Cricetulus griseus: one gene and its partners. The protein of the gene in region 4 interacts with the protein of the main gene of each other region in a pairwise test. Links are inferred from orthologs where the notes say so. Each region holds a gene or a part of one and is shown on either strand. Other genes may lie near its edges. The genes, in order: Dppa4, Gpkow, Sh2d4a, Sh3gl1, Mal2, Fam102a and Mta1.

Region 1 (3,304 bases), on a different chromosome or scaffold from region 4:
CAGCTGATGGGTAATAGACTTCCTGCCAAGATGGTGCCACCACCCTGCCTCCCTCTGATCCAAGAATTGTTCCAAAGTCCTTTCAAACATGATGTCCAGAAAGGGGCAAAAGGGATTTCAGGGAAGAAGTAAACCAACCACACAGAAAAGAAACAAAAACTAAAAGTCACAAATGAGATCCGGTGTAATATTTTACAACAATAGAAAACAAACCCAAGAACTGCACACTAACAACATACTACAACCTAGGAAAGAGGGCACACAGAGGCTACAGACACAAGCTGAACTTTAGAGTGGACCACAGAACTGGCTATGACCCTGTTGTGCCTGGGACAGGGCAAACAAGTACTAGATCTGGGAATGCCATATTCTTGCCCCAGGTCCTCCTTGCAGCATAACCAGTAGGACACTTTCTTGTCTTCACACAACAGTAGGTATAACCATTTACAGTGTCCAGTCACCATAGTGGAGAGAGATGGACCTGGTGTATTTTGGTGGCTGCACTGGCTCTTTTCCCAGGCTGCTTGTATTACAGCAACAACTAACAGTGTCCCATAGCTTCTGGGTGATAGGGGCACCTTCACGGGCACAGACGTGGGTTTCCATCAGTCTCAGTCTTGGTTGTGGTTCCGTAGACCACTCCACAAGAGTGGGTGATGACAGCAGATAGCCAAACCTGAGATCCTCCCTTTAGTCGTGGAGACTCTTATTTAAGACCTTGTTCCTAGAAAACAAATTTATCCACGGTTCATTCATTCATCATTTCCTCCTTCCACACCTTACCCCCACCCCCCCAACACTGAGACGAGACAGGGTCTCATGTAGATCAGATTGGTCCCAAATTCCCCATCACCCTGCATACATTTCTCAAGTGCTGGGATTACAGGTATGTCGTACTCAGATAATGAACCAGAACCAGGAAGAATCACCATTTTATTTTTGTTTACTTATCTAGTTTTTTTTTTTTTTTTTTTCCTGGGCACAGGGTTTCTTCTCTAACAGCTCTAGCTGTCCTGGAACTAGGCTGGTCTACAGAGTTCCAGGACAGGTTCCAAAGCTACACAGAGAAACCCTATCTTGGAAAAAAAAAATTCATTTTGACTAAACAAAGATGGTTGATTTTTAAGACAAAGACTATGTAGATCAAGGTGGCCTTGAATTTGTAGATAGTCCTCCTGAATGACAGGTGGACACCACCACACCTAGCTCAGTTGACTGTGAAAGAAACCTTCCCTAAGAACCAGTTTCTTTCACCATCTGATATCAAACCTACTCAATGCTCCTCAACTCTAATGAGACAGATTTAAGAAAAAAAAACTTTAAAATTATGTCTCTTATGTGTGTATATGAAGATGCCACGATGCACATTAGCTGATCAAGGAACAACTTTTGTGAATTGGTTCAGTCTTTCCACCACATAGGTCCTGGGAATAGAATTCAGGCCATAAGCTTGGCAGTGGATACTTTTTTTTAACTGAGCCATCTCCTGCCCAACAAGAGGACTCTGAGCCCAAGCCTAGCCTAGCTACACAATGAGACCTTGTCCTCAAACACAACCAAAAGCTGGTAGCTAGACTTAATGATATATACTTACAATCCCAACACTTGGGAGGCAGAGGCAAATAGACTGCCCCAAGTTGGAGATTAGCCTGATCACACAGCAAGTGTCAGACTCATAAACACCTCGAGCTGTGGAGGCTACTTACCTGAGCAAGACAAGAAAATACTCAAAACACAGCTGATTAAAAGCTCCCACTTTCAATGTGTAAGCATAGCACTCACCTGTGAATACATCTGGGGCACAGAAGGTTGTCCTCCAGGTGTGGGGGTGGGAAGTTGCAGGCTGGAAGCAGGAAAAGGGCAATCACTTTTCCCTTCTTGTCAGGGACCCAGACTTGTCCACCGTGGAACTGCAGCCGAACCCAACCTTTTGTGCTTTCAGTAAAGCTTCTCCCATGAACCACACACCACAATTCTTCTGTGGAAGTTAAGAGAGTTAACACGAGTCACATACTCAGGCACAAGACTGAGCCAGGCCTTGGTGGCGCACGCCTTTAATCCCAGCACTCGGGAGACAGAGGCAGGCAGATCTCTGTGAGTTTGATGACAGCCTGGTCTCCAGAGCGAGTGCCAGGATAGGCTCCAAAGCTACACACACAGAGAAACCCTGTCTCAAAAAAAAAAAAAAAAAAGACTGACCAAAGCCTTCCCAGTACTTAATGACTCCAGGACATGCCAGGCCTGGAATAAAACTGGGAATCCAACCTTTATCTCAACCCATCTTGTTCCCTTGTTCCCTACTACAAAAGCATGCACGAACTCCCAGATAACCAAAGGCTTTTTTTTTTTTTTTAAATGAATTAGGTCTACGGGTCTCACTGTGCAACCCTGGCAGGCCTGGATGTTAAAGATATGTGCTTCTGTGTGCCAAGAGCTGAGGCTGGGCCCTCTACAAGAGCAAGTACTCTCAACCTCGGAGCCATCTTCCAGCCCTCGACTAAGACCCGGCACCCACCTGCATCACACTAAGCATGATTTTTCCTTCACTGAATTTTCTGGTTTTTGAGACAGGGTTTCCTCTGTATTGCTTTGGAGCCTGTCCTGGCACTCACTCTGTAGACCAGACTTGCCTCAAACTCAGAGATCCACCTGCCTTTGTCTCCTGAGTGCTGGGATTAAAGATGTGCACCACCAATGACTCACATTTTCTGTTATTCTTACAACATGAGCTCTCTGTATTTTGAAAAGTCTTAGGTAGACCAGGTTGACTTCAAACTTCTGGTCCTCCTACTCAGGTCCTGGGTTCATAATCTTATGATATCTTATATTGGTTGTTTTTGTGTGGCCACTTGACACAGCTCCTTCATGAGAAGGAGCCTTGGCTGAGGAAATGCTTTTTTCAGATCCAGGTGTAAGGCATTTTCTCATTTAGCAACCAACTACGGAGGGCCCAGGCCATGGTTCTGAGCTCTATAAGCTGGACTGAACAAGCCTCGAGGAGCAAGCCAGTAAGCAGCACTCCTCCATGGCCTCTGCATCAGTTCTTGCCTCTGGGATTCTGTCCTGTTTGAGTTCCTGTCCTGACTTCCTTCAGTGACGAACAGCAAAACTGAAGCGTAAGCCTAGTAAACCCTTTCTCCCTCAATTAGCTTTTTGGTCATGGTGTTTCATCATAGCAATAGAAACCATAACACAGACAAGTCTTTTCTGAGTAATGTTTATTTTGTAATGAGAAACGGGAAATTATTGGTGTCACCTACTTAACAGATGTGAAGAGATCCCAGCCTCAATCCCAGAGAGTTTT
Region 2 (3,774 bases), on a different chromosome or scaffold from region 4:
GGGGTATAGGGACATCAAGGAGAAAGTCTCACCAGCACTTCCTCTCAAGGGTCATTGTTCTCCTGGCAAAGGCCCCATTTCCCATCCACCTCCTTCAGGAAGCTCCTCTCAAGCACCCAGCCCACAGCAAAGACACAGCAGAGTCAACTGCCTGGCGTTCATAGCAGAGGGGAAGAGCCGCAAGGACCTCTAAGCGGCCCTACAACCATTACTGTTCTGTCTGCCTCTCCTTTGCTCACACCCCAACCCTAGTCTCCTATCTGGCAAAAGAGAGGACCATCACTCCAAATACAAATGGACCTCCTGCGGGTAGGAATTGCTTTCCATACCCATTTCTTGCTGCTTAGAGAGGATGAAGATGCAGGGTACTAGATCAAGCACTTCTCAAACTGAACAAACTAGTTTGGGGATGTGGCTCTGTGGTAACAGTGTCAAGGCTCTGGGTTCTATTCCCAGCACTACCAAACAAACAAAAAAATGAATAAACTAGTCTTGTCCCTTCTCATGCCTGACCTCTGACTGGAAGTCCCACACTGCTTTTCCTTCCTCCAGATATAGAGAAAGCCTGCCTGACACCATGCTTCCCAAGTTTCCACCAATGAGTCTCACCTGGCTGTGAGGCGTGGCTATCAAACTCCTGCTGGGAAACAGGTTGTAGGCAATACTCACTAACAGTCACAATGCGGTTACCTACTGCCAGCCGAACCATGGCCCGTACATTGTCAGGATCAAGGCCTTCTACCTAAGGTGGGAGGTAGGAATAAGGCAGAGGGTGAATGGACTACAGCTGCTAGTTCTAAAATGTCCAGCCCTTACCTCTAATAGGTTTGAGCTCTCTGTGTCTCTCTTACCTTGTTTGCTTTGTTTTTGGATAGAGGTTCTCACTATGTAGCCCTGGCTGGCCTATAACTCAAATCCACCAGTCTCTGAGTGCTGGGATTAAAGCCCAACTGTATGCTGTGACCTGTTATGGCTAGGACCATGCATGGTTCCTTTATCTCTACTAAAACTATAACTCCTAAGAAACAGGAGTAGGGGGCTGGGGAGACGGTTCAGAGGTTAAGAGCACTTGCTGCTCTTCCAGAGGTCCTGAGTTCAATTCCCAGCAACCACATGGTGGCTCACACTCATCTGTATTGAGATCTGATGCCCTCTTCTGGTGTGCAGATATACAAAGAAGCAAAATGTTATACTAAATAAATAAAATCTTTAAAAAAAGAAGAAGCAGGAGCAGGCATGTTCCTGTATCTCCCTTAGCAAAATGTAAAACAAAGACGTGTGTGTGTGTGTGTGTGTGTGTGTGTGTGTTTACATACACGTAGCTACTATTTGTGTGGTGTGTGCATGTGTATGTGGAGGACAGACGTCCATATCAGGTGTCTTCCTTGAGTGCTCATCACCTTATGCTTTGAGACTATGTAGCTAGCTCACTGGCCTGAAACTTACTATTTTACCAGGCTGGCTTCAACCTCACAGAGATCTGCTTGCATTGTCTTTTGAAGTGCTGGGATTAAAGGTGTAAACCACCTTACTTCTTTGAAATTTTTAGTTCATGTGTGCATATTTTGCCTGCATGTATGTGTCTCTACACCATGTCATGTGTATGCCCATTGTCTGCTGAGCCCAGAAGTGGGGGTTGGATCTCCTGGAACTTGAGTGACAGACAGTTGTGAGCTGCATCGTGGGTGCTGGGAATCAACACGGGTCCTTTGGAAGAGCAGCAAGTGCTCTCAATGGCTGAGCCATCTCTCTAGCTCCACCTTATGCTTTTTTTATCTTTTTTTTTTTGAAACAGTGATCTTGGAGCTCATTGATTCAGCTAGGCTGGCTGGCCGATGAGCTCTGGAGATCTACCTAGAGTCTCTACTCCCCAGCTTTGGGTTATAGATGCATGTATGCCTGGTTTTTATATGGGTGCTGTGGATCCGAACTCATGTCCTCATGGTTGCATGCTAGCCAATCATTTTCACACACTGAGACATCTCCCCACCTCTCATTTTTTTCAAGATAGGTTCCAGGCTAGACTAGTACTTGTCATGTAGCTGAGGTTGGACTCAAACTTGCAGCAATTCTCCTGTTTCAGCTTCTGAGGTACTAGGTTTGCATTAATAAGCCACCATGTTTGCTTCAGACATCTTTTAAACACTTATGTTTCATGGAAATTGTGGGATATGGCATTTTCTCCCTTTTGGTTGAGAACTGAGACCCAAAAAGGCCCAGAAAATTGTTTTGGAGTGCTCACTGAAGCAGTGGGCCAGGCAGGCCTGTAAGATTAGGATTTATAGGGCTGGAGAGAGAGCTCAGCAGTTAAGACAACTATTTCTCTTGCAGAGGACCTTAGCTCAGTTCCCAGTATCCATGCCAGGTGGCTCACAAACACTTGTTAATCTAGCTCTAGGGGGAACCCAATGTTGAGCACCCACACTTACCTACAAATACCTACACTTATTTTTGTTATTTTGAGACAAGGTATCATTATATAACCTTAACTGGACTGGAACTCGCCATATAGATCAGGCTGACCTCAAATTCACAGAGATCTGTCTGTCTCTGACTCCTGAATGCTGGGATTAAAGACATGCAATACCAGGCCATGAAGAAAAATAGTACCATGAAGAGCTTTGCATTGTGGGAGTTCCTTCCTTTCTCACTCCCTGGACATTTTGGTGCCTGCTCTGGTTGGGGGCTGTCCTGAACATAAGAGGAAGATGGTGGCCACAGAGACAGAAAGGTGTCTGGAGTCAATCAACTCTAGGCTCTAGTTTGTTATAAGTGAAAAATAAATGCTGGGATACAGGCAGACTCTGAAGATGACAAAACAGGGCAAAGCAACATTGGTTATCCTTACCACCAACTGCCAGCTTTGAGGCAATCTGAAATAGAATACTATGCCATATTGACCAAAACTGGTGTCCACATTGCTAGTGGCAGTAATATTGAATTGAGCACAGCAAGTGGAAAGTATTACAGTGTATTGCACTGGCTTGCCATGATTCTGACATTATTAGAAGCAAACCAGAACAGATTGATGAAAAGTAAACCAGAAAGCAGACACATGTAGAGGCTCAAAGTTGTCATCAGGTGTCTCCCTCAGCTGCTCTGCACTTTCCTGAAGCAGGGTCCCTTGCCAAATATGGAGCTGGCCAGTTCAGGCTACTATAGCCAGGCTGCTCTGAGGATTCTTACTTCCTCCTGAATGCTGGAATGGCCTGCAGCTGCCACTTTCCTGGCTTTTATGTGGGTTCCATGGTCTGAATGCCAGTCTTCAAGTTTGTGTAGTAAGCACTTTGTCCACTGAGCCATCTCCCCAACCCCTTCTCTTGTTTTTTGACACATGGTTTTGCTACATAACTAAGACTGGCTTTGAACTCACAACGTAGTTCAGGATAGCCCTGAGTTTTCAGTAATCCTACCACCTCAATCTCCTGAGTATGTTACTATGCCTATCCTTTGTCTTTCCCCCCTTTCATTTAATTACATTCTTTAAATTTCTGAGATTATGATATAATTCCAACATTTCTCCCTTCCCTTTCCTTCCTCCAAACTCTCCCATATAGCCCTCCCTGCTCTTTCAAACTCATGGCCTCCTTTTTTTCCCCCGAGAGAGGGTTTCTCTGTGGCTTTGGAGGCTGTCCTGGAACTAGCTCTTGTAGACCAGGCTGGTCTTGAACTCACAGAGATCCACCTGCCTCTGCCTCCCAAGTGCTGGGATTAAAGGCGTGTGCCACCAGCACCTTGCTCATAGCCTCCTTTTTACCAATTATTATTGCATAC
Region 3 (4,286 bases), on a different chromosome or scaffold from region 4:
GAATACTCTGCATAAAAGCCTCTATCCGTTCAACAGTCTCTGGCATTCAGTGAGTATTTGAACACGTTATCCAGTCATACTCTGAGCTCTTTGCATGCATTATCTCACTTAACTCTCAGGACAACAGACTGGGCCAGGCACTGCTGTTGCCCTGAGTAGGAAGCCTCAAGGCAGATAGGTAAAGGGGAAGAGCTGCTATTAAGATGGCCTTGTGAAGACATGAGACAGAATGAGTGTGGAGGTGGATAGTCCAGGGTCCCATAAGGTTTCAGCTGACAGATGGCCCACTCGCGTAGTTCCTTAACTTCCATCCAGGGAGTGTGAGGGCACTGACTGAGCAGATACAGCCCTAAACACAGGGGGACATGCCAGCCTAAAGCACCTCACCGGCCATGCAATCAAATGCAGTGGAGAGTAAGCCCTGGGCCAGGAATCCTTGCCTGAATGGATCCCAAACACCATTCCTAATGGCCTGAGGCTGATTCCTGAGAATGTGTGGCATGACCCCTACCTTAAGGTTTTCCAACTCTTCAGTTGGCAAAGCTTAAGATAAACAACATCTGGGCCTGGCATGTCAGGCTTCTCGATTAGTTGGTTGGACAGGCTGTATAGAGTCACACCATGCTTCTCTTCTTGTATGGCACTTCTCTCCACACTCAGAGTCTGCTGGGGTCCTGTGTCGTCGCCGCACCCCCCCCCCGCCCCCAGCGACCCAGCACTGTTTCCCTGAACACATCCCTAACATTCTTTCCCAGAGGCTTGTCCACCTTTCCATGCTGCTGAGCTTTGCTTTGAGATTTGCTGAAGTTGTGCCCTGCACCACCCTGGTCCTCTTCTGTTAGTCACAGGGTTCTTCCACCTTTTATTTTTCCTTTCTTCCTCTCCCTGGCTGTCCCTGTCTCTAGTGCCTGGAGTCTCCCACATTCCAGCCTTTCTCTTCCTTGATCGTGCAGGTAAAACCACACCTGGGGTAACAAATGCTTCAGTGTTTGATACTTTACTTAATGTCAACAAAAGAGGGGGGGGGCAGTAAGCTGTAGAAATGCAGGGGCAGAACTGGAGAGAGAGCCAAGTTGGCCTGCAGGACCCAGGTTCCCAGAAGGGCCTACCCACCTCCACAGGCTCCACCTCGCAAGCAAATTGAGTGTGGAAAGGGCCAGCTGTAAGACGTTCTTCAGACCACTCTGGGATGAACAAACCATCCCAGGCTGCAGACAGCGCTCTAGGTTAACTAAGGATTGCCTTACTGTTGCTGGACCAAGGCAGCCAAGCCTAGCCTAGTGGCTCTGGAGTGTCTCCAGCTCCCGGGTGGGGCCCAGAGGGAGCGCCCAGTCAGTCAACCCGGCATGTGGGCGCGGCGGGGCGGGCCAGGGCTCAGAGCTGGACGCTGAGTGTCCTTCTGGGCCCGAGTGTTTGTCCAGCCTGCCCGCCTGGCTGGGTCTCAGCCTGTCCTCCCTTCTCTTCCTGGACAGCTGCGGGAGGCAATCGGAAGGTGGCAGGTGCTTGGGCCACCTTGTTTGGGGTCCTGAACAGGTAGGTGACTGGGGTGAGCGGGCAGTGGGACTCGGGAGGTGGGTCTCCAGGACAAGGGGAGAAGCACAGGGGCCAGGGCTAGGAGGGTGGTGAGACCCTGGTCCCCGCGCATCTGTCCCTTGGGTCCCTCCTCCACCGCGCGCGCGCAAGGCGGGCTCAGGTGCCCAGAGGAACCGGCGACCACGGTGTCCGCCGGTGTCCGATGTCCAGTATAGGGTGTCCATTGTCTGCAGCCGCGGCATGGTGAGTGACGGCCGAAGGACAGGGGGCTTGAGATCTTTGTGACCGATATACCGAGTGCCAACAGTGAGAGGAGAATCTGAGGCGACTTGGCGTCTTTCGGGGGAAGTTGTGCGGTCCGGGCAGTGTGCTTGCACACGCGGTGAGTGAATGTTTACACCGGCCCGGGGCAGGTGCAGCCGGCGGAAGCCACCTGTGAGGGTCTTCGCCAAACTGCAGCTGCGGGGTGCCGGCGGCAGTATCCGCAAATCAGCCAGGGGTCTCTCCTGGCCCGGAGACCTTCCAGAGAGCCCTGAAAACCGGTTTCAGCTCACGCAGAAGTCCATGAGCGCGTTCCCCGGCAGGGACATCCTTGCGCGGGCGCCCCCACGTGGTACAGGAAGGGGCGGGCAGTGTCGCTTCCCTGTGGTTCTGGATCAAGGCTGAAGTCAGAACCCGACTCCAGTTGGCTGCACCAGGACTTTCCTGTCCTAGGGGCTCATGGGTCTTAGGTACGATCTTCAGATATCCTGGGAACTTAACCAAATTCTGGATTTTAGACATTTTTAGAGTGAGCAACAGGTGTGGCTTGTTGCTTAATTTTTCCTTTGCAAGAACAGCCCTACAGGAGAAGAAAAACAAGTTAGTTGAGCTGCACTTTATGTTGGATCTCAAACAACTGCACTCAGTATGACACCCAAACATGACTGGGTGAATTAGTGGCCGCAATGAGTGTCCCGTCGCAGTGAAAGTAGGAAAACCCCTGGCTGGTTCATTTCCTCATGTTTATTTCCTGTACTTGGCTCAATAACTTCAAGGTAGATTTTGTCTCACAATCTATGAGTTGCAGAGATCCCAAGATTAATTTTTGGGAATCTAAGTCCAAAGATGAGAAGTGACACCCCCCCCCCCCAAAGTCACAGCTCACGGGAGGCAAATCTGGGAATCTGGGCTGGTGTCCTTTGAGGTATCTGATGAACAGTCTGCTATAAGGGAAACCTTGAAGAGGGTGGCAGAAGAGTCATCCAGAGTGAATCAGCAGTGCAGTGTGGCACCCACAGTCAACAGCCACAGACACTTGTATTCTCAGAGGACCCCAGGAGTCACTTGTCTTTTTTCCGAGAATGATTAAGGTGGCCCTGGTGGTCAGGGTCTATAGTCCCTGTTAGGTGGGAGACAGAGGCAGTCAATATAGAAAGGTGAAAGCCTGCCTAGCCTATTCAAAACTGGCCTGGGCAACTTAGACTCTGTCTTAAAGTATAAAGTAAAAAGAGGCCCGAGGGTGTAGCTCAGCAACAGAGAAATTGCCTAGCATGTGCAAGGGACAGGAGTTAAACCTCAGGACTACAAAACAAAACAATCTGACTAGTTAACCTTAATGCTTGAAGTCCATGTTTGTTACGCAAGGTAAAACAAAAAGGGTTTGCACACTTCCTTACAGATGTGCTGTGGAAAGGAATATTGTGGAGACAAAGTATCTGGCAACCAGAAAACAAGAGGAAGACATATTCAACACTGAGCCAGTGTGGCAGTCGGCTCTGTGCGCCTTCCTGGATGGGGTGTTTTCTTCTCTGGCCTCCTCTAAGCTTATCTACAGTTGATTGGTGTTGGCCTTCTTGCTGTAGGAGAGGAATCTCCACATCTGCAGTTCTCTTCCCAGAGAGGTTTTCTGGTCTTTGTTCTGAAAATTTAAAATTGGTGTCACACAGCGATTGGGCTTGTGAGTAAACTTGTAGCCGCCAGTCACTGCAGTGGATATGGTCACTGCTGTGCTTTAGCCTCCCAGTGTCTTACAAAGCTGTGAAATGGAACTGGCCTCTTGGAGTTAGAGTGGTGAAGCGAGTTGACTTAGGCTAAGTATTTACTTTAGTGCCTGCAATAGTGAAGTGTTGGTTCTGTTATCAGAATACTCTGGGTCAGACTGGGGGAGGAATGGGCCCTTGGCTCTTTGAGGGAGTTAATTTTCAGCTCTCCCCTGACCCTCTAATGCTATTCATTGGATTAAAGATTGGGGATAGAGTAGAAGCTGCAGCCACGATCCATTGCTAGTTTTCTATCCTGTTCTGTGGGCATCAACCCCCGAGGCCATGGAGTGTAGCCATTTATGGAGGCTTCCGGGAATTTCAAGGAGTCATTTACTTTATTTACTTACTACTTTACCTCAGGACGTTGGACTCACATATGCCAAAGAACCAGATTCTTTCCGTGGGAGAAGAATAGCTTCCATAAACCTTCCTTTAGTGTGGACTTGATTTACTCTATTCTGTGAGAATGTGCTAGAACCAAAATATCGTAAGACATTGACTCTGCACTGTATAACACTTTGAAGACCATCTCAAAGCATATTTATATGCAAGCTTAACTAGGAGCCCTGACGGGGGTATGCATGGCCAAGTTACAGTCGTGGCATTCTTTTAATGCTGTTTAGCCTTCCTCTTAATATAGTGTTCCATTTGAATTCCAGTAGCAACAATACATGTAGCTTCCAGGCCCCCTGTACCATCAGTAATTAGAGAGCCTAATGCTGCAGATGT
Region 4 (3,774 bases):
CTTCATGCCTGGTGTCACAAAAGGAGGCAGTGGCTTCCACAACCAGCAAATTCCAAATATTTATGAGAGCCTGTGATGTGTGATAAGGGCCTGTGATGCCTCCCTGGGCGCAGCAGTGATTCCTATTGACACCCTGCTCACCCCACATCCGAGTATTACTGTTTGAAGCAGTGGAGACCTGTGTCTGGCCCCGAGACATGCCACTAGCTTCAGGGACCAGGATACTCCATGGGGCAGTGGGTGGTCACCTTCTTGCATGTCCTCTCCAAAACCTGCCTCTGCCTCCCACCCAGCCCCATTTTATTTTTTTATATTTATATTTATATTATTTTATATTTATTTTATTTTATGTACATTGTTGTTTTGCCTGCTTGTACGCCTGGAGAGTCCCACGTGCTGCTCAGTGGGCCTGCTCTGTCCTTGGTTGCTCCCTACCAGGAACCAGACATCAGGCATGGAGTAGGTCAAGATTGGGCGTGTGGGGCTCGGTGGTTCTGCTCTGCAGGGAGGTCTGAGGTGGAAGCTGAGAAAGAAGGGTGGCTGTGACTCTCCAGGCTCAGGCTACCGGCAGCCCTAAGGTCTCCAATTGAGGACACAGAGTCTGCCTGTGGCAAGGACAGAAGGCTAGGCTGCATTCTCTCCCTGTGAACTGATGACCACTAGGAGTCTGGCACGGCACCCACACACCTCTCTACCCTCTATGTCCTGTCCACATAGATGCTGCTGCTCCTTCTCTCCCCCAATCCCTGTGCTTTCTGGGCCAACACGGGTTCCCAGTGTCCTGCGGATGCTGTGCCTATCATGATGCTTCTGCTGGTAAAGTGAGGCAGGTGAGCCTCTAAGAACACTGTTGTGTCCTTCAGAGTGTCCCAGTGCCCTCCTGCATCAGCCTGCCTCAGACTCTCCAGGCAGCTCTTAGTTGTGGGCCAGGTTCCTCCCTCCCCCCCACCCCCAGAACAGGCTGAGCCCTGGTTGAGAGCTGTGCTAAGGAGCAACAGAAGGATCTGTTAGCTGCTATACATGAGGCATGGGTGCTTAGGTCCACCAGACAACATGGCCATCCATAGACATTTCTCATGCTCTGTGGTATTGCACAGCAGGCCTCAGTTTGACCCTCCGGTGACTGACTGGATACAGCATGGAGCTGCCCTGTGCCCACCCTCCCCTTTCATGTCACTATCTTCGTTGCTCAGACTGAACGTCCTGTGGCCACTAAGCCACCTTTCCTAAAGAAACATGACTGTCCAGGGGTGGTGGCCAGACCAGGCAGGGTGTCAGCTCACATGTTCCTCCCAGAACCTTCACTGTGCCTAGCTTCTCCTGTCACATATCCCGTCACTGTACTTAGTTTGGCAATGCTGGTGCAGAACTGGGGGTCTCATGCATGGGGCAAGGTCTCTACCCAGTGGCACTCTGGTCACTGTGATCCTGTTGGGAGGCCTACCTCCCTGCTGTGCTTGCCCCCACTCCAGATGCCTGGTTTACAGGTGACATTGTCAGCAGAGCTTGTGCCAGCAGGTGTAGCTCCTGTGCTCCTGGACAAATCTGTGGAAACAAGCTGGCCGGGGATTTGGGAGCAATCTTGGTGCATTTTGCCTTGGGCCCAGATCCCTGGTTGTGTTGTACTTAGCCAAGATACCCAGTCTGTCCCCCTGAGGTGACTGCAGTAAGGCAGCTCTTAGCAGGGGTGATGTCCCTGCTCCCCCCACAGGCTGACAGCTCTCTGCTGAGAACCTGAGTGTTTGCATGCCAGCCACCATGCAGCTGCTGCTGTGCTGTGGGCAGCTGTGGTGGGTCCCACACACTTGTACACTGCACCCTGTTTCTGTCTCTGGAGTGCAGGTGGTGGGAGGCAACATGCCCATGAGCTACAGAGGGCGCTGATGGTCCTCCTGCAAAGAGACCCAGAGTATGAGGGTACAGCCTGCTCATGACATGTGTGGTGGCCAGTGATGTGGGGCCCCCAGATCATAGGTCACAGGAGATGGGAGCATTAATAGAGCAGCCCAGTATGCTCCAGGCTCTCCTCTTCCTGCCTGACTGCTCTCCCTGAGACTCTGGTCCCCTGGCCCAGATGCTATCCCCTGGAAGCTATGGCTCTGCCTCACTTCTCTGCATTTACCAGAAGAGCAGGGCCTCATGGTGGGTGACATCCTGCTTTTGCTCGCCCAGAGAAGCGAAACAGGGCCGTGAAAGTCAGTGGGGCTCCCTGTGAATACCCAAAGGAGGTAGCCAGTTGGGCCTGCCCTGGGGAGGACATAGCTACAGGGACACCCCCCACACACACTGTCTTCCTGTCTCTCCCTACCCTGAGTCTTATCCACTCCTCTGAGATGCTCTGGGGAGCCCAGAGAGCAGCTCTGTTCAGTGGGCAGACCAGAGAGCATGGAGGCCTTCAGAACGCTGTGGGCAACTAGTCACAGACACAGGGCAGGGAGGCCACTTCCGGTGGTGCCTCTCTGCAGCCTCCCTACTTCCTGATGTCTTTGGTCACTTCCTCCCAGGCCACCCTACAAAGTCCTTACTGCCTCTGCCTATGGTATGGGACACCACATGGCACTTGCAAATCCCTTGCCCACATCAAGCAACAGCTCAGAGTCGGGAGCACCATGGCTATGGCCCGTGAAAGCCTCACTGGCACCCTTCTCTCAGGAGGCTAGCCTGCTGTTCTGCATATGGGGTGTGTATGCACCTCATGTGGGGGTGATCTGGACAATGACTGCCCTGCTGGTGCATCCCAGGGCCTTGGGTGTGATAAGTGAAGATGGCTGTGGTGGGCAGACTTGGGGAGAAATGGGGCCTTGTGCTCCAGAGAAGTGACACACACTGTGTCACATTCAGATAGTGACACAGGCACTTGGGGCTCCCTACCATGTACCTGAGGCCAGCCCAGGGCAGTTGGCTCTGTCCACCCTGCCCCAGGCTCTCAAGTTCTGGCTTCCTTGAAGGGCCATCCTTATCAGGTGTCAGTGTCACAGTGCAAGCACTAAGGATTCAGGTACACAGGAGTCTCCTGAAACCTGCAGTACCCTCATGTGCAGGACACGGAGTACAAGCTGGCATGGGGCCTGCTTTGCCTCTACCAAAGTGACAGGGTCGACCCAAGAGCTGTAAAAGGTGGACAGTCCCCACGGGGTGCTGGGCTGAATCCCAGCACACCTCAGCCCTTCTCCCGGTCTCACCCAGACTCCCCGTCTGCCTGCCTGTCCCAGAGGCTGCATCCTTGGCAGGCACAGCGGGTGTCCCTCCTGTGCCCTCACATGCCTCCCTCCTTCTACCCCAACAGCTGGTCAGCGAGAAGGTTGGCGGGGCCGAGGGGACCAAGCTAGATGATGACTTCAAAGAGATGGAAAAGGTAGGAGTCCCAGGCACGGTCTGCAGAGCTTCTGGAAGACAAATGGGCCTAGACCGTTCTGCCTCGGTGTCTGATGCTCCAACACTGGCTCTCTTCGCAGAAGGTGGATGTCACCAGCAAGGCCGTGGCAGAAGTGCTGGTCAGAACCATTGAGTACCTGCAGCCCAACCCAGGTAGGTCACCCTGAAGTGGTGACCATGGACCTCCCAGCTTCTGCTTGCCTCCACACACCAGGGTCCCTTCTGCTGACTTGCTGGGCTGATGTACAGTGGGGTCAGGTCTTCCCAGGCAAGGGTGAGGCAGGGGCCATGGAGTAGTACCGTGACTGTGTCCTCTACTATCTCCATGGTACTTCTTCCTGAGGAGGCCTAAGGGAGGGGGCATGTGGGATTGGTCCCTTCTGTGAGCTCCGGAGGGCT
Region 5 (4,486 bases), on a different chromosome or scaffold from region 4:
GATGCAGAAAGCACGAGGTTTCCTATGAGACAAACAGCACACACAAAATGCCAGGAAGTGGTGAGTAACAGGTATCACCTCCCTAGGTGACAGGAGGTACGTATAAAGGATTTCATCCACACCCTGCTTTGTGGCTTTTCCTCTGGTGCCACCACCACCACACCTATGAGTTTCGCTCATTAAAACAATAAAGACGTAGGGTAAAACCTGCTGACAGCCCAGGCAGGGAGCAACTCGCAGACTCAGTTTGGAGACTGTCTGATAGTGTGTGTGTGTGTGTGTGTGTGTGTGTGTGTGTGTGTGTGTGTGTGTGTGTGTGTGTGTGTCCTTGTTGCTTGACTGGGTCTCCCTAGGTATCCCTAGATGTCCTATTACCGGTTTTGCAGCCTTCTGGTTTCAAATTCAGGGCAATCCTCTGGCCTCATCCTATGAAACGCTGCTATTCCAGGCTTGTGCTGCCATGCCAGGGTTAGCTATTGTTTTTTCCACTGGATCTACTTGTGTGCTGATGTGAGTCATTTAACTTATCTTCAGATGACCTTTGAGAAATGCCCCTTCCTTTGTCCCACTTACAGACATTAACACTGAAACCAAGACTACAATGGGAACGCACGAGGTAAACTGAGGCAAGGGACTCATACATAGCATCCTTTTTTTTTTTTTTTTTTTTTTTTTTTTGGTCTGCTGAGTGTTAAAAGACAGTGTCAAAGAGTACATGTGTGAGGGCTAAATGAAAAGGGTCTGTGTGGAAACGTGATGCGGCTGACATCGTTTGTAGACAGAGCAATGATACAGATCTCGGGATTGGAAAAGTAGCTGCCGTCCTAAAAGCTACAGTTTACAGAGCGCTTCCTGGGCACTGAACTTTTCTGTCCCTCACTGGCGGATATCCTCATAGGGATTTCCCGGAACAGAGTAGGAAACCTCAAAGCAGCCCTCCGGGGACCTACGGCCAGCCATCGACTCCCAAGTGCCACACGACCCTGGTGACATCTTTGAAAATTCCATTACAGTCCCCTTTAAAACAGGCATCCCGCTTTCCAGGTGTGCCTGGCGACTGGCGTTTGCTTTCTGAGTCACAGTCTCTGTCTTCCTGCCCAACTGGGGACAGAGGGTGAGGCCCGGGTGAGAGTGGGGTGGGATGGAGAGGTGGGACCCGCGGGACATTTAGCGCAGGGGCAGCAGGTGATCGCGAGAGCCTGGGCGAGCTGGTGGCCCTGTAGCCGGAGCGCACCGCGCACCTGTACGGGTGACCCCTGCGGGCGCCGGGGCGGGGACGTGCTCACCTGCGCCCACGTGACGGGGCGGGGCTCTGTGTAGAGGGCCCTTGGCCACGCCCTCTCGGCGAGCGGCACGCCCGGACCCCGCGGACCGGATCGGCGGCGGCGGCGCGCGGCGGCGCGGCGGCGGCGGCAAGCCCGGGAGGGAGGCGGAGGCGGACGCGGGAGGCGGTGGCGGCTGTGCGCGGAGACGTAGCAGCGGCAGCATGTCGGCCGGCGGAGCGGCAGTCCCGCCGCCCCCGAACCCCGCTGTGTCCTTCCCGGCGCCCCGGGTCACCCTGCCCGTGGGCCCCGACATCCTGCGGACCTACTCGGGAGCTTTCGTCTGCCTGGAGATTGTGAGTAGGGTAGCAGCGTAGGCGACGATCGAGCCCCGGGGAGCAGGGACAGGCAAGGCAGCATCCTTGCCCCCAGCCCGGTCTGGTCCCCCCGGCGATCACCTTCTCCTGGAAGTGGCCTTTTCCTGCCCACGGTCTCGGGGTCCCCTCCACTCTGTGTCCGGGCCTTTTTGCTTGGCACCTGTTACGCGGCCACCTGCTCGCCGGCCTGGAATGGAAATGTCCCCTAGAGTGCGAGCAGGCAAAGGGCCCAAGATTAGGGACTTGGGCAGGAGAGGGGTGTTAGCGCTTGGAGGAGTCGCGGGGACTGGGCTTTGGACAGGGTCTACGCTTGCCTGGTGGAGGAACTGGCGCCCTCGGCCCCTCCTGTCGCTAACCTGCCATTTTGTTGGGTGGTGCAAAGGTGTACCGATGACTGGGTGGCCAGGAAGCTGGTAGGATGTGGAAAGCCGGGGCGGAAGGCGCCAGGGAAAAGGAGGAGCAGGAGGAGGCTGAAGCCTGGGTATGGTTTTCACCCCACTCACCCTTGCCATCGTCAGTGCCCTTTGGATTGGGGAAGAACGGGGCAGGGAGGACGGTGAGATTGTAGGTGCCGTTGGCAGTGTGTAATCAAGAGGCCGTGAGAACCAACCGTGGGGAAAAGTGGAAGACAGACGTGGGGCTGTCAGCTCCAACTCTCGCCTTTGCCCCTTGTCCATTTTCAGTTTACCTGAGAATTCCAAACCTCCTCGGAGCACCTCGCTTGTACCTAGGAAAGTTGAAGTCACAGGCCCGCCCTGCAACCTTGTGGAACTAGACACTTGAACTTGGGCAAGGAATGCTGTACAGTTGGGAGCTTTCGAAGCTCCTTGTGGACAAGGGGGATGTGTAAATATAAATTGGGCAACTGGGGTTGCATCATGCCCGGAGAATGTCAAATAGAAAGAAATGTTAGCAAGGCAGGGCCTTTCCTGCAGGCGGGTTTTGTTTGCTCCCTTTAGGGTTTTCATGTCACTCATCCTCCTGTGAGTTTGCATAACCTGGATCTGGGTCACTCTGGCTTCCCTTTTGTGCTGTGGAGCTGAAAACCGTGGGAGCCTTGGTTTTCTGCCCCACTATGCTTTGGTAGCCAAGCCACCTTAGGTTTAGCTCCGATTTGAATCGGAAAGCAGAGGCGGTGGCAGCTGGGATCAGACTGACTGTGAGTCTAGAAGACCCTGGTGTGGGTTCGGGTTTAAGCCCAGTACAGCGGCATAGGAATGAGACAGTGATGCTATATATATTAGTCTTGAGATAGGTGTGGTCTACCACTGAGCTCCTAACTTGCCAGCCCCTCGGTGTTGGCCCAAGCTATCCTTCCCTGTTACATATTTACCATATATTTGCCTAAGTTTAATACAAAGTTGATCTTGCAAAACCAAGCCTTTTAGCTCAGGCTGAAAACATTAACACCAAAATTTATCATTTTCAGGGGCCAGGACAAAGGATCAATGAGTAAAGGACTTGTTGCAAAATTGTGAGGACCTGTGTTCAAATCCCAAGAACGCTTGAAAAGCTGCCCTCCGTGGTAGAGTTGCTGCCTAACCTTTGGCTAGAACTTAGCTTCATCCTCAGCAGTAATATACATTGCATCTCAAATTTGATATGTTGGTTATACATTTCTAATAGTTATTCAAATATATTTATACAATTAACTTGTATGTATACATATACATGGCATATATGTATATATATACATATATATATGTATACACACATGTGTATATGGAAACATATGCATAGAAGTGTTGCCCACATGTTATCAAAACAAATGCTACTCAGGACCCACCTGACGGTGTGGCACATTTATGGAACACTAGTTCTGAAGGTGACTTATTGAACTCCTTCTAGCTCCATATCTCCTTTTCCTATCTACCACAGTAGTTAGTTCTTAACTCTGGCTGTATTTAATAACTTGGCAGCTTTGAAAAGTACTGTTGCCAGCCTGGACTAATTAAACCAGTGTCTCTAAGGGAGCACCCAGAGTCAGCTAATTTTTTTTAAAGTTCCCTGGAGATCCCAATACACAGAATAACTGCAACTGACTGATAGTGCCTTTGGACCAGGATCTGCAGAAAGGAGAACGTTTTTTTGTTCATTAGGATGGATAGGAGGATTAGATTCTGGAAGTGTGGGGAAGTATCCCACATACTTCCTGCTTTCTTAGTCTTCTTAGCCGCTCCTCTGGCAACTTACCTAACCCTGACACGGGTTAGACTCTTATCAAAGTAGAGGAGTCTCTTCCCAAAGCCATTTGGACTTGCACGTGTGTGTGTGTGTGTGTGTGTGTGTGTGTGTGTGTGTGTGTGTGTGTGTGTATCCTCGTGCCTGTGTGTTTAAGTGTATATGGAGGCCAGAGAACAACATTGAGTGTCATTCCTCAGGAACTGTCCACCTTTTCTTTTTTAATATTTTGCTTATTTATTGAGGGAACAGAGGGCACACCCATTCCACAACGCTTGTGCGGAGGTCAGGGGAGAACTTGCAGGAATCAGTTCTCTACTTCCACCATGCGGGTTCCAGGGGTCAGATTCAGATTCTCAGACTTGACATTAGGCACTGTTCCCACTGAGTCATCTCACTATCCTTTGGACTCTTTTGGGCATAGGGATCAGGATGAGCAAGATCTCTTACTGGCCTGTAACTTGCCAAGCAGAATAGGCTGGCTGGCCAGGGATCCGCTTGGCTCTGCCTGTATAGCACTGAGAGAACACATCACCCTCTGCAGCTTTTCTTTAGTATGTTCTGGGGGTTGAAGTTGGGACTTCAGGATTAAAATGCAAACACTTTACTGAGTAGGCTGCCTTTCTAGCCCCACGGTTTTATTTTTATGGCCAAACATCCTTCCAA
Region 6 (4,456 bases), on a different chromosome or scaffold from region 4:
GGTCGACAAGGCTGATCTTCCATTCTCTCAAATGAGAATTCGTCCAGGGGGGTGCTCAAAACTTTGTTAGTACCACGCTGCCTGGCCCTCAGGCCTCGGGTGGCCGTCACTAAACCCCTCCTTTGAGTTTCCTTCCCAAACCAAAAGCCCAACGCCTCCTCTGACTTTCCCATACGTCTACTTAAGGTCTTCAATTGGCTGTAGCCCCCTGTGATCCGCTCTGCTTGGAGGGGTAGAAGAGAAGCCCACCAGGCAGAGCCCCTACACATTGGCGGACCGGATGCAAAGAATTACAAAACGCCGATGGCTCGGAGAGAACGAGGCTCCCCAAAGTGTCCTCTGCCTCCAGAGCAGTTAATCTAGCGCTAACTATCCCAGAAACTGAAGAACAAAAGCCTTAGATAACAGCTTGGAACGAGGCAAGCTGGGTCATAAGGCTGCAGGGCTCCTCACAAACGGCAACGCCAGGGCAGACGCTTGTCATATTCAGAGGCAAGAACGACCTGCTGGGATCTTGGGCCACCTCTTTAAGAGGGTCGTTTTCCTGAGAAATGGGTTCACTACCTCCTCAGCCTGCTTTATTGCTCAACGAGCTCAGGTCTTGGCGGGACCCGGGCAGGTCGTTCCAGCCTTAGTTTCCAGATGGTTTCTCCAAGTCATTGTTTCTTCGTTTCTTGGCCTCGCGCGCGCTCTCCTCCCGCTCCTGCCTGTGCCGGCCCCCACCCGCGACCTCCCACCCTTCTCCGTCCCCTTCACCCCCCACCCCGGCTCGTCTCAAGGAGGCGGGTTCAGCTCCGCGAGTGCACCAATCCGAGCGCCCCGAACCGGCTCTGCCTCCTCGAGCCCCGCCCCACGCCACCGCCAGCCAGTAGAAATTGGCGTTTGTAAAGTCGGTCCGTCCAATTGCGGGTGGGCTGTGAGGCTCGAGCGTCCCGCCCCTGCCGCGCTTGGCCGCTGCTCGGCGGGCGGCCGCGCCGGGGCTTCGGCATTCTCCGAGCGGCGCCGAGGTGCGTCGGGCTCAGCCGGCTGCGTCCGGTGGTGCGGGCGACGGCGCCGCTGTGATCCTGGGGTGCTGGACGAGGCAGAAGCCACCCGGCTGGGTCGGAAGGCGCCTCAGGCTCGGTCAGAGCAGGCGCGGCGTGGGTCCCGGGACTGAGCCGGAGGCCGACCGGCCAGGTTCCCCGCCCGGCAGAGCCTCCCGGAGAGGTCCCTGCGGAGCCCGGGCGGTCGCTGAGGTGGCTTCCGCTTCCCGGGGCCTCACCTGCGCAGGCCGCGGGGCGCCAGGTGCGGAGGCGTGTGCGCCGCTGGGCGCCTCCCCCGGCCGCCAGCGGGGCGGAGGCGGGGCCGCAGCCCGGGCCTCCCGCGGCTCGCCCGGCAGTCTCAGTCTCACCGGTCCGCCTGGTCCCGCGGTTCGGGATGCTGCTGCCTGCTCACGAGCCGCCCGCTGCCGGGGCCGCGCCTCGCTGTTTACATGCCGGTGGAGCCCGGGCCCCCCGAAGGTGAAAGTAGCCGGCCCACAGGACTGGTCTCCCAGACGCCGGGCTCCGGACTCAGATCTTCTCCTGCCCCGCAGCCTCCGCCGCCATCTGGACTGGATCCGGCCCTGGTGTTTTTTGAGGAGGGGGGTGTGGTATAGGGAAAGGAATCCTGGGGATTTCTGGGATCCCCTCTTTTTTTTTTTTTTTTTTTTTTTGTGCCCTGCGGGCTTAAGACTCAGGGAACTCGCTCATGGCTTTTTTGATGAAGAAGAAGAAATTCAAATTCCAAACCACTTTCACCCTGGAGGAGCTGACTGCGGTCCCCTTCGTGAACGGGGTCCTCTTTTGCAAAGTCCGGCTGCTGGATGGCGGGGATTTTGTCAGTTTGTCGTCCAGGTAGGCCTTGAGGCTTTTGTGTTTGCAGGGGAGGCTGTGTGTGTGTGTGTGGGGGGGGGGTGCTGCTGAATGAGATCTTGGTAAATGTGGAAGCCTCAGGTCGGGACGGCAAGGGACTTCCGGGCGTTATACGTGTCTGGGGGAAGATTTGCTCGAGGCAGTACTTGGGGCTGGCACTGTGCCAGGCGCTTATCTGCAGGTTACCAGCCAGAAACCTTTTAGGGCCCTGAATGCATTCTCCAAGTCACCCATTTTGCAAACTTGCATGGAGAGGACTGAATGAAATTTGCTCTTTGAGGGAGTAAGTAGGAGTGCCCTAGGCCACCTTACCACCAAGCTGGCCCCTGTGGCTGTCATATGATTGAGAGCTTAGGCCAGCCACAGGTTTTCTGGCATTTTCCTCATGGCTGGGAAAACCCAGTCCCAGGCACTCCCTGGATCTGATTGAGGGTGGTGGCAGGTTTTTGGGTTGCCCAGCCCCCTCTGAGTGACTGCCCTCCACTGGCTGAAGCTGGGCTGCTTTGCATTGCAAACGTCCTTGCCAGAAGACTGCCTTCCTCTGTGAAAGACCAGTTAGGTTTTATGTCCTCCCCATCCTGGTAGGTCCAGTTTCCCAGCTTATTTCTGAATGAAATCCAAGTTCTTAGTCTACCCTTTGCAGATTGATCTCACTAGGGCCACACAGTCCTAGCCTGCCTGCTGAGGCCCTTGGAGTCCAACTGATGAGGAAGGGGAGTCAAGTTCTGGCTCCTTCTGGGTTCCTGTTCCCTCTTGTGCACAGTGGATCACACAGATTTCTCCATCAGAGATATGGAAAAAAGTTGCAGTAGATAGGCCCACAATACAGCACCTGGCCCAAGGCCTGGGATACTCTCCTCCTCTTACCTAGTCTGCCCTTTGTTCCTTAGGTTTTGTGGGCTTAGTTAGCTGGAGATGCCTCACTATTCTGAGATCTCAGAGGTGTGTTTTACTGATTGGGATAATGGGCTCCAGAAAGAGGAAGTAAATAGTTGCCAGGGACCTTGAGTGAGACAGTTGTCAGCCAAACTGCCTGTTAGGAGACCTGTTGGGTGAATCTGCTGGGAGGAGAGAAGCTATGTGGCCTGATTCAGATTTTGGAATCTGTGTGGATAGAGTGAAATGCCTGTTCTATGCACTGAGCCTCCTGTTTTGCTCGGAGCTGCTTATCTGAGGAATTTGGACAAGGGGTGCCCTTTGTGGTGGGGTAGCTACAGTCTGCAGCCCGTGAAGCCTGTAAACAGCACAGTGTCAGAGGGTTGTGCTCAGAGATGGGCCTGGAGTCAGCCACTTTCAGGCTCTGGGTGAATTACAGAGTCTCCCTGATCCCATATCTCAAGAGCCAGCAGTTGTTGGTGCTCTGCTTGCTGTTTTACTAGCTCCTCTTAACCTCTTGACTGGGCCATGGAGCAGTAGAGGTGGGGTCTGGGGAGCATTTACAGAGATGAAAATAGAGGCTCAGAGAGGGTGGCTTTAACTGCTACCTTGTGCCTCTGAGCCTCAGTTTCCTCTTTTGTAAAATGGGGAAGTAATACCCACCTTTCAGTGTGAGGGGGGTGGAGAGTGCACCATGTCTGACTAGAGAAGGTGCTACAGTAGCTACTATATTGTAAGGGGCCCAGACCCCAGCTCCCTCTAACCCCAGTTCATTGACTCAGGGTGGGGTTGGAGAGTGGATGGGGGGAGGGGTGGTGTATACTGGACGACATCTCTTAATTAGCAGAGGTCCTTTTGTCAACTGTACCAAGGAATTTGCACCAAGCGCATGCTGCAGTTTCACCTATCTGCCTAGATCCTTAGCTAGCCACTAAGACCCTACCCGTCAGCTTTTTTCCCTTGCCCCAACTTGCCCCCACATCCTGGAAAGTCTGGAAAGTTCTGGGACTTAGCACACATGGCTCTGGATTTCACCTCTGTTTCCCCTTCTTCCTCCTGGCAAAAGACCAGATTCTCTGAGCCCAGCTGAGCCTAGGCAGCCTTTCCCAGTTCCCATCCTGGATAAAGCCTTGTGTGGGTGGGTGGGTGTGGTGTGTGTGGTGTGTGTGTTTGTTTTGCTAAAGAGAAATAGCTGGCATTGAGGCCCAAGGCTGAGCACTTAGATTCTAGACACCTGGGTATTGCAGCTGTAGCTGTAGAGAGCAGTGATGTTGGAACCTGAGCCACTTTGAAGTGGCTTTGGCTTTTGTGGGCTTTTACCCAGGGGGTGGGGGTTCCTAGGTTGCTATTCCCTCTACCACACCCCTCTCACATTGATCCTTTAGCCCAGGAGCCTGGGCCACCCCTCCACTGCTGTGAGCTTATTGGGGTAGGGACTGAGGTGACTGGACTTGCTTAGATCCTGGGCCTAGATGTGGCAGCACATCTTCCCAACCCCAGGGACATCTGGATCTTTTGATGTGCTGTTGGCAGCATGGGTGGTATCAGACTGACAGCAGTCCTAGACCCCACCCCTGCAACACCTACCTTCCTGGCTGGTGTTTTCCAGTGTGTTGAGTGCCATGGCAACAACTGGTACTCAACTCCACCTGACCCAGTTGGAACAGGTGACTCCTGGGGTTGTTCCT
Region 7 (3,774 bases), about 83 Mb from region 4:
GCCACCTTGTGTCCACCAAAATGGAGGGAGGGTAATGGTCTGCCGAAGGGTAGTGACCTACTGTAAGGATGGCTGCAGTCAGAGCCTTACTGCTACAGACCCCACCCCCCACCCCACCCCCCCCCCACACACACACACACACACACTGTGCTCCCAGAAAAGCTGCTTGGGCATCTCTGGCCAGGCCTCCGGTGAGCTTCATCAGGCCAAGGAGGCAGGCATCAAGGTACCAGGACCTGCTGTGACTGCCAAGTGCTCCAGTCCCTGGGCTGCTTCTGACTACATAGAGCTCCCTGTAGCCGGGACACACTCCGCTGGTTCCACAGTAGGAAGCCATTACACAAGAGCTAGAGACCAGGAGCCCTTCCTTGTGGTCACAGAGCCTCTGGCTTCCCAGTTGGTGCCCTGCCAGGGTGTCTAGCCCAAGCACTGCCCTCAGATGGAAGCCAGACAATGTAGCTTGTGGTGTGCCCGGAGCAGAAACCCCTTCCAGATGCCCATGGAGGGAAATGTGGCCTGGCCACACTACCCAGTACCCGCAAGAGCAAGGTTAGGACTTAGCAGAGTGACACTGGAGGTGGCTCGGGAGCACAAAGCCAGCGAGCGCTTCTGGACCTGGGGTGGGGAGGCTTGGATACCGGTTGGGGCTGTGCCCCCTGCCGTCGGTTTTGTCCATTGGAAGGTCTCTAGGGAGAGCTGGGGCCAGAGGTTGTGATAGGGTCTGGCTTGCTCCAGGTCTAGAAGAGATGAGGGGCATCCTGGAGCCACTTGGTGCCTGTGTCAGGGTTGTGAGCGACTGTACTTGGACCTGACACTGATGCAGGCCACAGGACCCTCTCCCAGTGAGGGTGTGGCTGTCTTCCCTAGATGTGCTGTATAATACAGAGTGGGTGTGCACAAAAGCTAACCTCTGAGTTGGTGGTTGGGCCTCACACAACTGACATTGCAAGCTCTAGCTGGTGTGTGTGCACAGCTCGTGTCTGCTGTGCAGGAGCTGCTCTCAACAGACCTGCTTGCCCTGTTTAGGAGGAAAATAGCTCAGTGGCGATGCCCCAGACTTCTGGGGCCTAGTCTTACTGAGAACAAACCTCCCAGCCTTCATCTAAGATGCCTAAGGCTAGGGATTCCCCTCCCAAAAGTGCCAGAGCACTCTGCAGTCACCACATGGGGGCAACAGAGAGCAGCCATGTCTGGCAGGCTTATTGGAGCTGTGGGTGTTGGCAGGGCTGTCCCCCTGCTGGACACTCTAGGCAAGCCTGGGCTGTCATTATACACACTGTTCCATACTCCCCTATTTGGGGATCTGGGATAGGCAAAGGAATATTTTGTTGATACCAGGTAGTGGGCATTAGCCAAGCCAACTGAGGTGCTTAAATGCGACATTGGTATAGCTTGGGCTTCTCCCAAAAGTCACTGTCCTCCTCCTGCTGTCCTGTTATTTTCTTGCCCTTCTTTGGGCAGTCTTGTCTGGAGGCCCCTGACTCCTGTTCTTGCCATTTAGAGAGGCGCTAGGGCCTGATTGGTAGAATATGTGTGAGCATTCTGGTTGGGGCAGACAAGAGCTGCACTCATAGAAGAGGGATGTGTCTCGCTCGGGTGGGTAGCTCCTGTGTTGGAGCGGTCAGGAAGCACAGGTAGTCAGTCTTTCACTGGGTGGTGTTTGTCCTCTGTCGGGAGGCCTGTGGCCCCCATGTCTCCTCGGTCCGGGCCCTGGGCAGGGAGCAAGCGCTGGCACTGGCCCTAACCTGCCATCTGGGCGCTGTCTGTCTGTTATGTAGCCCTGTCAGTCTGCTATAGAGCCGGACCGGGGGCGGACACCGGCGAGGAAGGTAAGAGCCGACCTCTGCAAGGAGGGTGTCCTCGCGGCTGTCCCTGGGTTGGGGCGGGTGACACACAGGTGGATGTATCCTGGATGGGCTGCCTACATGCCCATCCCTGCATCCCCTGCCGGCCGGCTAAGGGCTGGGATTCCCTATGTTCAGCCTGTAGCCCGCCCGGCCTTGGCTGTGGCCCAGGCCTCAAGGGTTCACCCTGCTAGCGCAGGCAATCTGTTGTGTTTTGTGCGGGGGCCGTCTGGCCTCAGGCTGGCAGATGAAACTTCCCGTCCTGAATATGTAGTGTGCCCATGTTTTTCCTGCCTCTCTCTGCCTGTTGTTTCTAAGGCCAGTCTGAACACTGTCCTCCTCTTCCTATCCTGATGTTGAGCCCTATATTCCAGGATTCCAAGGCATCTATGGGGCCTGCCCAGAGCTCGCGAGCCACCTTGGAATGGGCATGAGATGTGCTAGGCAGGAAAGTGGCCCTTCTGTGCTTGGTGCCCTGCACGAGGGAGAACTAGCTTGGGGGCTGGGGCTCTCAGCTGCCATCTTCAGGGATGACTGACAGGGCCTCTTTGTTCTCTAGGGGAAGTGGAGGAAGAGGTGGAGAACCCGGAGATGGTGGACCTGCCTGAGAAACTCAAGCACCAGCTGCGGCATCGCGAACTGTTCCTCTCTCGGCAGTTGGAGTCGCTGCCTGCCACCCACATCAGGTAGTTCTAACACCCCTACCTGGTGACCCTGCTGCCTCAGGTGGCCCTCCTCCACTCACCCACCCACCCTTCTCTTCCAGGGGCAAGTGCAGTGTCACACTGCTCAATGAGACCGAGTCGCTCAAGTCCTACCTGGAGCGTGAGGTAAGACCCATCCTTCTGTCACCTGGCCTGGCCTGGCATGATGCCTGCCCTTTGAATTACACTGCAGCTCCTTCCCTACCCACAGTACCCTGCCACCAGGGTTCAGAGACGTTCGTCTGGATCCTATCAGTCACTTCAGGTGTTGATAGGCAATCCTTCAAGATGACCCTGTGTGGAGGTTCCGACTCTGAGAGGATAGATGGTTGGAATTGGTGAGCACTTCTGCTTCCAGGATCCCAGATACCTGCAAAAAAAAAAAAAAAAAAAAAAAAAAAAAAAACTCCATAGGTATCACGTGGAAAACAGAAGCCTAGACAGGCCCTCTTTGTCCACAGTCTCAGGTGACCTCAGGGCTGGCTGCTGGCTTTCGTGGGCTTTCCGCCTGTGGGATAAGTAGTTGTTATGTAGGGTCACTCTGCACATGGTTGGGTATTACCCATGAGATGTCACCCCTAGAGGTGTTCAGTACCACTGCTGGGAAGGTCAGGTTTCCGAGGCTAACTGGCTGCCATGTCAGTTACTTGGAGGATGTGGCAGTTGGAAGGAACACTGGTAGTCAGGTAAGAAGCAGGTGTGTCCGGTTTCACGTCATCACCGCATCCTCCTTCCCCTCTTCCTCTTCCTCCCTGGGACCTGCCCCTAGGACTCTGCTGCCTCAGCTCTATCCTTGTGGCCTGAGGCTCCCAGGTACAGGCTGGCCTAACAGGGCCCATCTCCTGTGTGCCCCCAGGGAGTGCCACTGAAGCTTGAGAGTACCAGGGTGGCAGAATATGTCCTGAGCTCAGCCCACCCCCCCACGCGGGTCACTCGCTGTGAACCTGCTCTGTAGGGATACCAGTCATCTCTCCACTCCTGCCATACAGAGCCCAGAAATAGTTGACATGGTGGTTCAGCTATTGCTACATGCGCCGTTAGTCTGAGCAGCCATGGACTTGTTGGTGAGACCTGCCTGAGACCCTGCATGGCTGGGAATCTGCGCAGCCGTGAGATGTGCGGCTGGCATATTCCTCTAGGCGAGCAGGACCTACAGAGGAGGTCACGGAGGCCTATTGGCTGCACAGGCGTCTAGGGCGGAGGCTGTGGTTGCTGCTGGGAGTGTC

What was found.
Region 1: the proteins of Sh3gl1 (region 4) and Dppa4 interact in binary tests that used the Homo sapiens proteins (3 or more experiments, as listed by UniProt). The link is inferred for Cricetulus griseus from reciprocal best matches to the Homo sapiens genes SH3GL1 and DPPA4.
Region 2: the proteins of Sh3gl1 (region 4) and Gpkow interact in binary tests that used the Homo sapiens proteins (3 or more experiments, as listed by UniProt). The two-hybrid records come from large-scale screens. The link is inferred for Cricetulus griseus from reciprocal best matches to the Homo sapiens genes SH3GL1 and GPKOW.
Region 3: the proteins of Sh3gl1 (region 4) and Sh2d4a interact in binary tests that used the Homo sapiens proteins (3 or more experiments, as listed by UniProt). The two-hybrid records come from large-scale screens. The link is inferred for Cricetulus griseus from reciprocal best matches to the Homo sapiens genes SH3GL1 and SH2D4A.
Region 5: the proteins of Sh3gl1 (region 4) and Mal2 interact in binary tests that used the Homo sapiens proteins (3 or more experiments, as listed by UniProt). The two-hybrid records come from large-scale screens. The link is inferred for Cricetulus griseus from reciprocal best matches to the Homo sapiens genes SH3GL1 and MAL2.
Region 6: the proteins of Sh3gl1 (region 4) and Fam102a interact in binary tests that used the Homo sapiens proteins (3 or more experiments, as listed by UniProt). The two-hybrid records come from large-scale screens. The link is inferred for Cricetulus griseus from reciprocal best matches to the Homo sapiens genes SH3GL1 and EEIG1.
Region 7: the proteins of Sh3gl1 (region 4) and Mta1 interact in binary tests that used the Homo sapiens proteins (3 or more experiments, as listed by UniProt). The two-hybrid records come from large-scale screens. The link is inferred for Cricetulus griseus from reciprocal best matches to the Homo sapiens genes SH3GL1 and MTA1.

Annotation. Positions count from the first base shown.
Region 1 is NC_048597.1:42,771,225-42,774,528, forward strand, and holds the end of Dppa4 (developmental pluripotency-associated protein 4), read right to left. Parts: intron 1,987-3,304; coding exon 1,783-1,986; intron 725-1,782; coding exon 691-724; downstream 1-690. UniProt on the Homo sapiens protein: May be involved in the maintenance of active epigenetic status of target genes. May inhibit differentiation of embryonic cells into a primitive ectoderm lineage.
Region 2 is NC_048604.1:114,166,824-114,170,597, reverse strand, and holds part of Gpkow (G-patch domain and KOW motifs-containing protein), read right to left. Parts: intron 743-3,774; coding exon 610-742; intron 1-609. UniProt on the Homo sapiens protein: RNA-binding protein involved in pre-mRNA splicing. As a component of the minor spliceosome, involved in the splicing of U12-type introns in pre-mRNAs.
Region 3 is NW_023276806.1:245,041,812-245,046,097, forward strand, and holds the start of Sh2d4a (SH2 domain-containing protein 4A), read left to right. Parts: upstream 1-1,404; 5' UTR 1,405-1,533; intron 1,534-4,286. UniProt on the Homo sapiens protein: Inhibits estrogen-induced cell proliferation by competing with PLCG for binding to ESR1, blocking the effect of estrogen on PLCG and repressing estrogen-induced proliferation. May play a role in T-cell development and function.
Region 4 is NC_048598.1:97,526,687-97,530,460, forward strand, and holds part of Sh3gl1 (endophilin-A2), read left to right. Parts: intron 1-3,286; coding exon 3,287-3,355; intron 3,356-3,455; coding exon 3,456-3,528; intron 3,529-3,774. UniProt on the Homo sapiens protein: Implicated in endocytosis. May recruit other proteins to membranes with high curvature.
Region 5 is NC_048603.1:797,579-802,064, reverse strand, and holds the start of Mal2 (protein MAL2), read left to right. Parts: upstream 1-1,486; coding exon 1,487-1,618; intron 1,619-4,486. UniProt on the Homo sapiens protein: Member of the machinery of polarized transport. Required for the indirect transcytotic route at the step of the egress of the transcytosing cargo from perinuclear endosomes in order for it to travel to the apical surface via a raft-dependent pathway.
Region 6 is NC_048599.1:144,254,191-144,258,646, forward strand, and holds the start of Fam102a (protein FAM102A), read left to right. Parts: upstream 1-1,390; 5' UTR 1,391-1,728; coding exon 1,729-1,874; intron 1,875-4,456. UniProt on the Homo sapiens protein: Key component of TNFSF11/RANKL- and TNF-induced osteoclastogenesis pathways, thereby mediates bone resorption in pathological bone loss conditions.
Region 7 is NC_048598.1:180,931,609-180,935,382, reverse strand, and holds part of Mta1 (metastasis-associated protein MTA1), read left to right. Parts: intron 1-1,778; coding exon 1,779-1,829; intron 1,830-2,403; coding exon 2,404-2,530; intron 2,531-2,610; coding exon 2,611-2,674; intron 2,675-3,774. UniProt on the Homo sapiens protein: Transcriptional coregulator which can act as both a transcriptional corepressor and coactivator. Acts as a component of the histone deacetylase NuRD complex which participates in the remodeling of chromatin.